3 linked regions of the Sus scrofa genome follow. The protein of the gene in region 1 interacts with the protein of each later gene in a biochemical or structural test. Links are inferred from orthologs where the notes say so. Each region holds a gene or a part of one and is shown in the gene's direction. Other genes may lie near its edges.

What was found.
Region 2: the proteins of MYLIP (region 1) and CNPY2 form a complex in vitro, tested with the Homo sapiens proteins (2 studies listed by BioGRID). The link is inferred for Sus scrofa from reciprocal best matches to the Homo sapiens genes MYLIP and CNPY2.
Region 3: of the proteins of MYLIP (region 1) and LDLR, one has a biochemical effect on the other in vitro, tested with the Homo sapiens proteins (4 studies listed by BioGRID, with this or other methods). The link is inferred for Sus scrofa from reciprocal best matches to the Homo sapiens genes MYLIP and LDLR.

What each region holds. Positions count from the first base shown.
Region 1 is NC_010449.5:12,115,953-12,120,160, forward strand, and holds the start of MYLIP (E3 ubiquitin-protein ligase MYLIP), read left to right. Parts: upstream 1-1,301; 5' UTR 1,302-1,540; coding exon 1,541-1,627; intron 1,628-2,719; coding exon 2,720-2,910; intron 2,911-4,208. UniProt on the Homo sapiens protein: E3 ubiquitin-protein ligase that mediates ubiquitination and subsequent proteasomal degradation of myosin regulatory light chain (MRLC), LDLR, VLDLR and LRP8. Activity depends on E2 enzymes of the UBE2D family.
Region 2 is NC_010447.5:21,708,442-21,712,596, reverse strand, and holds the start of CNPY2 (protein canopy homolog 2 precursor), read left to right. Parts: upstream 1-1,304; 5' UTR 1,305-1,825; exon of another isoform or gene 1,826-2,326; intron 2,327-2,424; 5' UTR 2,425-2,449; coding exon 2,450-2,537; intron 2,538-2,681; coding exon 2,682-2,797; intron 2,798-3,643; coding exon 3,644-3,847; intron 3,848-4,004; coding exon 4,005-4,101; intron 4,102-4,155. UniProt on the Homo sapiens protein: Positive regulator of neurite outgrowth by stabilizing myosin regulatory light chain (MRLC). It prevents MIR-mediated MRLC ubiquitination and its subsequent proteasomal degradation.
Region 3 is NC_010444.4:69,839,628-69,843,259, forward strand, and holds part of LDLR (low-density lipoprotein receptor), read left to right. Parts: intron 1-696; coding exon 697-819; intron 820-1,756; coding exon 1,757-2,143; intron 2,144-3,632.

The sequences.
Region 1 (4,208 bases):
GAGGGATATTCTTAAGACACAAAGATGCGAGTGCACACGTCCCTCTGCAGCGCTGGGGCTCAGGACTTGGACTTGTTTTGGCTGTAGTTTAGTGAAAGACTGCAGTAGGATTCTAACCGGTAATCTGCCCTGATATCCTTCCTGCTTTTTCAGAAATAAAGGCCACTGGGACAGACATCCCTGGGACTCCAAGAAAGGGATCAGGACAGAAGTCATTGGCAGGCAGTGAGAGCTGACAGTACATATCTCCCTACATATAAGGGGTCGTTCAAATGCTTTTATGAACACTATCTCTGCTGCTTTTCAGAGCAATGCTGGGGAAAGGCGGGTCAGACACTGTGGTCTCCCTTTTACTGCTGAAACACTGAGCTGCGGAGAGATGAAGTCAGTTTTCAAGGGTGCAAGGCTGAAACCCACATCTTCTGGCTTCTGTGAAGAAACCAAAGAGGTAGGCTCAATAATGCACTAAGAGAAACAAGTGGTAAATGAGGGGAGAGTTGTAGACCTTTAATTATTAATAGCTACAATTGAGGTTAAATCACCTGTTAGGTTCTGAGATGAGTTCCTTACCCCAAGATGGGGATAACACCTGGTTGCCTGAGAGACTGGAGCAGGTGCTCAATTAATGTTAAGTGAATAAATGAGATGAGGTGTGAGATAGGATGAGCAACCCCAGGGAGGGCCTTAGTGACCAGTACGGTGTTTTGATTCAGCACAATGGGTAAATAGAAGCTTCTGGAGAGGGTTCATGGAGAAAGTGCTAGATCAAGCTCCCTGGCTTATTGAACAATCGCAAAAACTTTTATACTCAGATTTTGTTTTTTCAATGACGGCGCCTAAAATAAAGAACAAGAATTCCGCCTTCCAGCAACCCACTGTGGCAAACCACAGGGGAAACAGTTTTTTTTTAGGCTTTGGGGTTGTTCTCTTTCCTATCCGCTTCCACCTCAAGGCTTCTGAAGAACAGCGGCTGCTTGGAGGCGTTTAATCAATGTAAATTCGAGCCCGACTGAAAGTCGTCCCAGCCTGGGAGCCCCGGGCGATCGCTGGCTCGGAGCAGCGTCGCCCAGCGGGCAGAGGTAGAGGCTGCGTCCCAGGTCCTCCCTCCTCCCGCAGCGCCCGCCGCCCGCGAGCTGCCACCTCCCGGGGAGGCTGAGGGGAACTCAGCCGACGCTGGAAGGGCGGGCGGCAGGGGAGCGGGCGTCGCTATTGGCTGGTGGGGCGGCGGTGGAGGGGCGGGGCCACCGTGATTGGCGGGGGCTCCCAGCCGAGGGGGGCGGGGCCGCTATATCTGAGGAGTCCCTGTCGCGGCGCAGGCAGTCGGGCTGCTGGAGTGCGGCGCCACCGCGGGAGTCAGCGAGCCGGCTGCCGGGCGCGCTGGCAAGGGGGTGGCGGCGAGGGCGCGGCGGCTGCGGTGTGCAGGGCAGGGGTCTGCAAGGCTGCAGCCTCCTGAGGGCCAGCCTCGCCGAGACGGGAACTGGGTCTGAGCCCCGCGCACACCAAAGACGAGGCGGCTGTGGCGGCAGCGGCGGCCCCAGCCATGCTGTGCTATGTGACGAGGCCGGACGCGGTGCTGATGGAGGTGGAGGTGGAGGCGAAAGCCAATGGCGAGGACTGCCTCAACCAGGTGAGGACCAGGGGCCAGGCGGGGGCCCCAGCCGGCTCCAGAGGCCCAGGGGCCTCGTGGTGGCTCCAGGAGCCCGGACGCGGGGCTTCTCGGGGGCCGGCATCGCGGAGGCGCCGGCGGCGGAGGGAGTGCGCCCCAGGCGCCCGGCCCGCGCCCCCTCCTCCTCGAGGCCGTGGGGCGCGCGGCCCCCTTCCCGGCGCGCGGGGGACGCCTGGAGGAGTGGGGGTGGGTGTCTCGGGGGACGCGCGGCGGGCCTACCACCCTGCCCCCCAGCCCGGCACTCTCCTGGAAGAAGGGGGCCCAGCACACCTGCCGCAGGTGTGTGCGTGATGCCTCCTGTCGGGTCCCCGCGGGGCCTGGCAGCGCCACCTGCGCCCCGGGTTGCGGTGGCTGGAAGCAGTCGCAGGTCCCGTGGGTTGCTTGGCAGATAAGCCAGGCCCTCGCCTCTTGCTACCTGTCTAATGGACCGTTCATCTACCTGCATCTCCCCTATTGCGGGGGACAAGAGGACCACAGGTTTGGCTTTTCTACCTCACGGCTGTCTTTCAGCACGCGTTTCCTTAAGAGTAAAGAAGAACGGTTCCAAATAGTGTACATAGTAGTATGGCAGATGGCAAATTCAGCTCAAGAGAAACGCTTTGCCCTCAAACCCCCTCGACCTGAGATGTTTGGAAAACCTACAAGCTTAGCTGACACTTGTGGCGTGTTAGCTCAATGTGTTTGTTTTGTTGGAGTCCAGATGGTTAAAATTGCCCAAATAATAAGCTGCCAAATCAGCTGTGCGGATTGTGCTGGTGGAGGGAATTCCGGTGATTGGAATGAGGAGGAGAATACCCCGTGGATTCCCCTCCTCAGCTTTTCTGGAAGGCTGCATTTTGAGAACTCCTTTTGTGCCTCTATCTAGTAGTGGTTTAACATCCCTGGAGCCTTAGAACCTTGTTCTAGCTAACAACAGGAATTGTAACACCGTTGTTGAACCTTGTGTTTTTTTGTTTTTTTGTTTTTAAAGTAGGCAGGAATGTTAAAGCCTTTGGGTTTGCTTTAATCCCGTGGACCACTTGCTCATCCATGCTGCATTTGTTTTTGTTTTAGGTGTGCAGGCGATTGGGAATTATAGAAGTTGATTATTTTGGACTGCAATTTACGGGTAGCAAAGGTGAAAGTTTATGGCTAAATCTAAGAAATCGGATCTCCCAGCAGATGGATGGGCTAGCCCCTTACCGGCTTAAACTGAGAGTCAAGTTCTTCGTGGAGCCTCATCTCATTTTACAGGAACAGACTAGGTAAAGTGACCCTAAAATAAACCAATGTCAAATAGACCTTTGGTTCCATTTAGGAAGGGGCCATTGCACCTCCCAGAGATGTTCACAGGCAAATTTGTTTTGTTACAGAGCGAGTTGGTTCCTAACTCAGAAGTTTTCCACAGTTCTTTTGTTGAGATGAAAAGAGAGGTGCATAGTTGGCCTGGGGTATGATTTCCAACTCTTCTGGTGTTTTTCTTGTCTTTATAAACAGTGGGTGAGCAGGGCTGACTTTTTACACTTGATCAGTGCCACAACACACAAAAAAATCAAATAAAAAAAGAAAGAAAGGGACCAACTGACTTCCTGATAGCAGCATCTACTGTCCGATAGTAACCTCTGCCTCAGCAGTGTTACTATAGGTCATTGCAGACTGCTCTAACAGAAAGCAGGAAACAGTTCCTCTTGGGTTACTTAAACTTGGTCAACTTCTTCAGCCTAGTGTCAGATTACAGTCTGTAGGAAGGAGCTCTGTCCGAGTAAATGCAGAATTTTAAAAGTTTTTCAGTTTCTTGAAAACTTAGTAGGAAAACTTCTTTTAAGGCCAGTAGTAATCAAACTCCACTCCACAGATGTGTTATGCATGATTGTTGAATTTGGATTGTTAAATTTATCTCTTTATTTCTAGGAAGCCACCAATAGTGATAGATAATTGGAGCATGTGGTTTCTTTTTTCAAACAGAAAATGGTTTCTCCTCTAGACTGTCTATAATACTTTTCTCAAAGAGAGCCAAGCTAGGAAACCAGAATTTAGTGTTTATTGCTAAAATACAGGAAACCTAAATCTTACAGTGGCATGTTTAAAAAAAAAAAGGAAAGAAAATGACTACTTTTAAGCACAGCAAACTTTGGATCCAAGTTCTGATGTTTTTTCATAATCCTTTGGCTTGGAAATTTGCCAGCACATGAAAAATGTGAGTGTGACAACTTTGAGTAACGATGAGTGAGCTATACACATCCTTTAAGAGTTTTTAGCATGTCAGTTTTTTGGTTGTTTACCAAAGGACGGAAAGAAACATTTTGAAGTACTATTCATCTGAATTTGAAATCTGTTTTGCCTTGTTACGAAACTTTAAAGGGTGAAGGAAATGTTCAATTTGGTATCTGAGAGAAGCTAGTATATTGAATGCTTAGTGCTTCTGAAAATGTCTTGCACGATATTCAAGTGATTCCATGTTTAAGGATGTTTTAGCTGTTTATACGAATCAGAATAGGTTAGGCTTTTTTTTCTTTTTGACTAATTTTCGAATGCTTCCACTTTGCACTTCAGTGTGATAACT
Region 2 (4,155 bases), on another chromosome or scaffold:
TAATAAATATCCTAGGCAAAGAAGCTCCTGGAACCAAAACTCTCAGTTCCTAGTCCCAGACAATGATAGGATACAACAGTAGTAGCTCAAGACCTAACTCAGGTCTCTGCTTCAGGGTTGCCTGGAGGGGCCAGCATTTAGTCTGGTGGCCCCAGCAAACTAGTGTTGCCAACATCACCATTGCCAAAAGGGCCTTTGGGTCCTAGACAAAGCTTGGCTGCTGGCTTCACTTCTGCCGACAGCTGAGAAGCATCTGTCTTCCATCCACTCTCCCATCCCAAGTTTTGTTTTCTTGTTATTTTTTAAAATTTTGTTTTAAACTGCATGTTTTATAAAATAAAAACGAAAAATATTGGGTGTCATCTATTTCATTAGGAACATCTGAGTGTGGGGTACTCTGACTTCAGTCCTCCCTTCCTTTGTGTTGGCTTTCTATTACAATCAGAAAAAACTTGGAAGTTCCCGTCGTGGCGCAGTGGTTAACAAATCCAACTAGGAACCATGAGGTAGCGGGTTCGATCCCTGCCCTTGCTCAGTGGGTTAACGATCCGGCGTTGCCATGAGCTGTGGTGTAGGTGGCAGACGCGGCTCGGATCCCATGTTGCTGTGGCTCTGGCATAGGCTGGCAGCTACAGCTCCGATTGGACCCCTAGCCTGGGAACCTCCACATGCCGCAGGAGCGGCCCAAGAAATGGCAAAAAGACAAGAAAAAAGAAAAAACTAAGGCTTTCAAATTCCCACCTAGAAGTGAAGATAAAGCTCTAGAGTCCAAAATTAAGAATATTGGGAGTTCCCATTGTGGCTCAGAGGTAACGAACCCAACTAGGATCCATGAGGATGCATGTTTGATCCCTAGTTTCGCTCAGTGGGTTAAGGATCCAGCGTTGCCATGAGCTGTGGTGTAGGTTGTAGACGTGGTTCCAATTCTGAGTTGCCATGGCTGTGGTGTAAACCAGCAGCTGAAGCTCCAGTTCAACCCCTAGCTTGGGAACTTCCATATGCCACAGATGCAGCCCTAAAAGCAAAAAAAAAAAAAAAAAAAAAAAAAAAAATCTTAGAAAAAATTAAGGATATTGGAGGAGTATAATTAGGTCTATATGGGCAGTGTTTGGTCTTTGCTGTGGCTGCCCAGCACCCTAAGGTTGGGTTCTTTTAAGAGGTGCATTATGATTTCCCTATTAAATGTATGAAAGGGAATTTGGAGAACCTTACAAACTACAGGTCCCAGGATATCTGATCTTTGGCTACCAGCAAAGAGCCTGTGTGGTGCCGCGGTGCTTCCTGGGAGATGCAGTTTCCCGGGCATTGAAACCTGGGCTTCTTACTAGCTAGCAGCGCACCTTTCTTTTTGAAGGCTCGAACCCATCTAGACTGCCATGCGCGAGCCTGAGGGCCTCGGTGCACCACGTCGGGCTCTGTCCTTGCTTCTAGCCACTCCTATTCCTCGGCTGACCCCTGGTGGTCACGTGGAACTGCTCGCCACGCAAGTCTGGGTCCTGCAATCCGCTGGGGTCCTCGCTGCCTGAGAGCCGCTCCTACGCTGCCTGTTCGCGCGAGAGTTTGGAGGGGCGGGTTTGGGGTCGGTCTCTAGGGTGGGATTCTTACCGCAGCGCATCTGGGCCCTGATTAGGCAGGCGTCCACTTAGGGTCGGAAAAGCTGGCTCAGGCAGTCGCTGGGGCACCCCGTGTCTAGAAAGTGCAGGAGCGCTCTGGAGAAGCTTGGACAGCCCCGCGCTCCCGCAGCCAGGTGCTAGGTTTGAGAGCAAAAGTGAGAGTCCGGCTGTATTCCAGCGCCTGGGCCACCGCGGCGGCCCTGGGAGCAGAGGTGGGACGGACGCGAGTGGCAGTGAGGGTCGGGGTTGGACTGGAGCGAAAGCAATGGCGGGGTCTTTAGAAAGGGGGCTGGTCCGTACAGGGAATAGTCTATAGGCTGGAGGTGGGATGCAGCAGTCTTTGATGCTGGCTTCAAATAGGCCCTAGTTATTGAATGCTTTTTCTTGCCAGCCAGCCACCTCGCTACCTCCTGGCCAGAATCAGCTACTCCTTGCCAGCAGCTCCTCTGCTTGTCGTCCTTGCCTGATCGCCAGCCACAGACCCATAGCCGTCATCCACATAGCCCTATGAATCGTAGGCAGCCGAAGCTTAAGTACCAACATCTAAGGCCTCACTTGCCCACGTAGTGTCTGGGGCTAAGCCCCAAGTCCCGAGTTTGCGCTCTTTACCCACCGCCCCCGGGGATTCCGGTTGCTCGAACGCCGGAACAGAGGAGCTCCTTTGTGTCCGGGCCATTTCCTGGAAAGTGGAGCCAGATCACACTGAGCCCTTTGTAGGCCTTGGGAGGGGAGGTGGGGGGGGGGTGGTCGGAGGACGGGGAGAAATGGAGCTGTCTCCTCACACCTATGCTTTATTCCATTCCAAACCCAGGTGGAGCAACCCCATTGCGCTAAAGATGAAAGGCTGGGGTTGGCTGGCCCTGCTTCTAGGGGCCCTGCTGGGAACTGCCTGGGCTCGAAGGAGCCAAGATCTACACTGTGGAGGTAAAGGCACAAAAGAAGAAATGGGAGGAAGGGAGGTGGGGATGATAGAGCCTTGGGAGGGCAAGGAATCCAAGGCCCGAGAAAAGGATGAGTGGAAATCCCTGGGTTGATTCCTTTCTCCCCCTCTCCCTCCACTTGCACCAGCTTGCAGGGCTCTGGTGGATGAACTAGAGTGGGAAATTGCTCAGGTGGATCCCAAGAAGACCATTCAGATGGGCTCTTTCCGAATCAATCCAGATGGCAGCCAGTCAGTGGTGGAGGTAACTGTGACTATTCCCCCGAATAAAATAACTCACTCTAACTTTGAAGGAGAAACTCAACTAATTAAGAAGGACCATAGTTTGATAGAAATGAAGAAAACATTGACCCACAGAGGCATCTAAAAGATTGGGCTGTCTCATTTGGAGGAGGTTGAAGGTTTATACCCTTATGCATTTGCCTCCTGGCTCCAAACCTAATAATTTTTTTTTGGTATAGAAGTTTTAGCAGAGAGGGAACCTTGACCAACCCCCTTCTCCACATCCTTAATCTTTATGACTTGTGTTTTTACTATGGCAGCATACATAAAAACATTTGGGGGGGGCGGGGAAACTTATCCTTATATTTAGGAAATTTACTTTAGTTGAAATATAACACACAGACACAAAGCTGTATCTAGTGAGCACTTGAGAAAGGTTAAGGTCATGAATGCTTGTGAAATGCTTTAACAGTTGTTATCCTCAAAGCCTATGCTACCTCTCAGTGTTCTTTCTTAAGGGTAGGTATTAGTCTCATTTTCATACAAAAAAGAAAGTCAGTACCTTACAGCCCTAAGAATTAAAGGAATTCAAAGGAAGAGAACGTGTAGTTAATTAGGGTTAGTCAAAGAGGTTGTTTTATAATTTGGAGCTAATGACACCTATGTTACGTTTTAGGCTTGTATAATGAGGTAAAATAGTTTCACATATTTGAAAATACTTTGGAACTGTACAAATCATACTGTTTTTAAATTAGGACAGCCTTTTTAGAATAGATTGGTTGGGCTAGATTTGGAAGGAAAAGTAAGGACACAAATTACTAATGTACAGAGGTAGAAGAATGTGACCCAAGGCTGAGGACATTTCTAGGTGCCTTATGCTCGCTCAGAGGCCCACCTCACAGAGCTGCTAGAGGAGGTATGTGACCGGATGAAGGAGTATGGGGAACAGATTGATCCTTCCACCCACCGCAAGAACTACGTGCGTGTAGTGGGCCGGAATGGAGAGTCCAATGAACTGGACCTACAGGGCATCCGAATTGATTCAGACATCAGCGGCACCCTCAAGTTCGCGGTGAGCTATGGGAGTGGGTATCGGGTTCTTAGAAATTAGGGGAGTTACTGGAGAGCCCAAGTGGAAAGCTGGGTTAATGCCCTTGTCCTTTTCGGAGGTGGAGACCAGAGGCTTTCTTTGCTGTCCTCTCTCATTCATTTCTCCCTTGGGTTGACAGTGTGAGAGCATTGTGGAGGAATATGAGGATGAACTCATTGAATTCTTTTCCCGTGAGGCTGACAACGTTAAAGACAAACTTTGTAGTAAGCGAACAGGTAAGCTACACCCACTTTATCTCCTGTCCTCACAGCCCTCTGGAACCTTCTCCA
Region 3 (3,632 bases), on another chromosome or scaffold:
ACTGGAACTCCTAGATTCTTTTCTAGTATAGTTATTACAAGATATTGAATATAGTTTCCTGTGCTATGCAGTAGGTCCTTGTCGTCTATCTATTTAATATGTAGTGTCGTGTATCTGTTAATTCCAAACTCCTAATTTATCCCTATAGCCCTTACCAACTGGTCACTTAATTTTTTTCCAATTTAATATAATTTTTATTTTATTTTAGTCTTTTTGCCTTTTCTTGAGTGCTCCTGTGGCATATGGAGGTTCCCAGGCTAGGGGTCTAATCGGAGCTGTAGCCACTGGCCTACGCCAGAGCCACAGCAAGGCAGGATCTGAGCCGTGTCTGTGACCTACACCACAACTCACAGCAACACCAGATCCTTAACCCACTGAGCAAGGCCAGGGATCGAACCCGCAACCTCATGGTTCCTAGTCAGATTCGTTAACCACTGAGCCACCATGGGAACTCCTATAATTTTTATTTTATTAAATAAAATGTAAAGGGGAGCTCGCTACTCACTTTTGGCTGCTCCCACAGCATGCAGAAGTTCCCAGGCCAGCGATGGAACCCTAGCCACAGCAGTGACAATGCCAGATCCTTAACCATTAGGCCACCAGGGAACTCCAAGGTTTTTTCCTTTGCAAAGCCCAGACTGGCAAGGCAGGTTGGTCTTCCTATGAGTTAAGGGTCAATGCTGTTTTCTCCCACAGTGTCTGTCACCTGCAAGATAGGGGACTTTAGCTGTGGGGGCCGTGTCAACCGCTGCATTCCTGAGTCTTGGAGGTGTGACGGTCAGCAGGACTGCGAGAATGGCTCAGATGAGGAAGGCTGTTGTAAGTGGGGTCCCTCACCTCATGGGCCATGGGCCTCAGCCACGTCCAAGTGACCCGACCAGATTCTGGTCTGAGGTCAGAATTTGTTCCTCCAGCTGAGAGTTCCACAAAGAAACAAGGCTGATAGTTTCAGATGGGAAGGCATGTGGCAGCTGGCTCTTTGATTTTATTCATTATTTATAATTTCCTTTTCAGCTATATAAACTTTTTTTTTTTTTTTTTTTTTTTTGGCCGCATCTATGGCATGTGGAAATTCCTGGGCCAGGGATCAAACCTGTGCCACAGCAGTGACAACCCTGGATCATTAACCCACTGAGCCACTGGGGAACTCTTGTATAGACATGTCTTTCATGAAGTGAGGCTCTTTAAAAAAACAAAAACCTCTGGACAGGTTGTAATAACCTATAATGGGAGAGAATGTAAAAGGAAGAGAAATATATATATTTCTCTCTCTCTTTTTTTTATTTGGTCGCATCCACTGCATATCAAGTTCCCAGGCCAGGGACTGAATTCAAGGTGCAGCTGCAACCCACTGCACAGCAGTGACAACTGCCAGATCCTTAACCTGCTGAACGACCAGGGAACTCCCTCTTTTTCATGTTCTTTTCCATTATAGTTTATTACAAGAAATTGAATGTGGATCCCTGTGCAAACTCTTAAATAGTGCTTCCCATGTGCCCAGCCCAACCTGGGAACTTTACACACGTTCCTCACAGTAACACCTTGAGACACGAACAGACGTCCGAGGCATTGAGAGGGCCGGGAGCTGGGTGGGTATCTGGGTGGGGCAGTGGTTCCAAATCCAGGGCCCCTGACTACTACCCCAGGTCCACTCACTGGGCTTGGCCTGTCCTGGGCTCAGTGTCCCCATCTATGCAGTGGGCTGGTGTAGGGCCTCCCCGGTAACCTGGCTGTGATCTTCTGTCTATTTCTGAAGCCCCCAAGACGTGCTCCCAAGATGAGTTCCGCTGCCAGGACGGCAAGTGCATCGCCCCAAAGTTTGTCTGTGACTCGGACCGGGACTGCCTGGACGGCTCGGATGAAGCATCCTGCCCCACACCCACCTGTGGCCCCGCCAGCTTCCAGTGCAACAGCTCCACCTGCATCCCTGAGCTGTGGGCCTGTGATGGTGATCCTGACTGCGAGGACGGCTCAGACGAGTGGCCACAGCACTGCAGGAGCCACAGCTCATCACTCCCCGAGAGGAGCAACAACCCCTGCTCAGCCCTCGAGTTCCACTGCCACAGTGGCGAGTGCATCCACTCCAGCTGGCGCTGCGACGGAGACACTGACTGCAAGGACAAGTCTGACGAGGAGAACTGCGGTAGGGGCGCCTTGGGGATCCCTTCACCTGTCCCTGGGCCCTCCTGTGTGGGGGGTGGGGGGCTGGCCAGTGCCTTTAGGTGGTTCTGATCTTGGAGAGACAGCTGTGAGTGATGGCTCGAAGCAAGATCTTAATTCTCTGCTCGGGAATCAAACCTGGGCAGCCTGGGTGTTCCGTGGTGGCTCAGTGGTTAACGAATCTGACTAGGAACCATGAGGTTGCAGGTTCGATCCCTGGCCTTGCTCAGTGGGTTAAGGATCTGGTGTTGCTGTGAGCTGTGGTGTAGGTTGCAGACGCAGCTCAGATCTGGTGTTGCTGTGGCTCTGGCATAGGCCAGCGGCTACAGCTCCGATTCAACCCCTAGCCTGGGAACCTCCATATGCCGTGAGTGAGGCCCTAGAAAATACAAAAAACAAAACCTGAGCAGCCTGGGTGAAAACCAGGAATCTTAGCTAGAGGCTGGAAGCAGAATTGCCTTGATTCTTGCTCCCTGTTGAAAGCAAGAATGTTTCAAGGAGACAAAGACTGTAAAAACAGGTACAAAGTTTATTGTCAGAGACACAGTGTGACATGTTGGAGAGCACACAGGGAAGTAGTTTATTTAGGAGTTCCCATCATAGCTCAGTGGTTAACGAACCCACCTAGCATCCATGAGGACACAGGTTCGATCCTTGGCCTCGCTCAGTGGGTTAAGGATCCGGCATTGCCGTGAGCTGTGGTGTAGGTCACAGGCTAGGATTGGATCTCGAGTGGCTGTGGCTGTGGTGTCGGCCAGCAGCTACAGTCCCCCAGTTTGACCCCTAGCCTGGGAACTTCCACATGCTGTGCGTGTGGCCCTAAAAAGACTGAAAAAAGAAAAAGTAGTTTATTTAAGTCAGAGCAAAGCAGTAATCCACACCCAAAAGAGGAGTGCTGGCGTTCCCCCCCCGAATGAAGAGCGAGCCAGAGAGGTGATTTAAACCACTTTATAGACGGGTCTACTGGGTCTTTGTTTTTCTTTGACCAGTTATCCTGTTTTATTTCTCACACCTGACCAGACCCAGGGCCCTCCCTGATCTGTGTGTGCAGCTTTTGGTCAAGATGGATTTCAGAGCAAAGTGTTATGGGAGGGCATCAGGACCTACTATGGCCTGGTACCCACCTCCGTTTTTGACCCCCAAGAGTTTCTCTGTGTATATATAACTGGGGAGGTCTTCTTGACCCCAGGAGTAATTGAAGTAGTCAGCTTATCTCTCTATACTAGGGAGTTCCCATCGTGGCTCAGTGGTAAGGAACCTGACTAGTATCCATTAGGACGCAGGTTTGAACCCTGTCCTCACTCAGTAGGTTAAGGATCTGGTGTTGCCGTGAGTTCTGTAGGTTGCAGACTCAGCTGGGACCTGGTGTTGCTGTGGCTGTGATCTAGGCCGGCAGCGGCAGCAGCAGCAGCAGTAGCTCCGATTCAACCCCTAGCCTGGGAACTTCTATATGCCGAGGGTGCTGCCCTAAA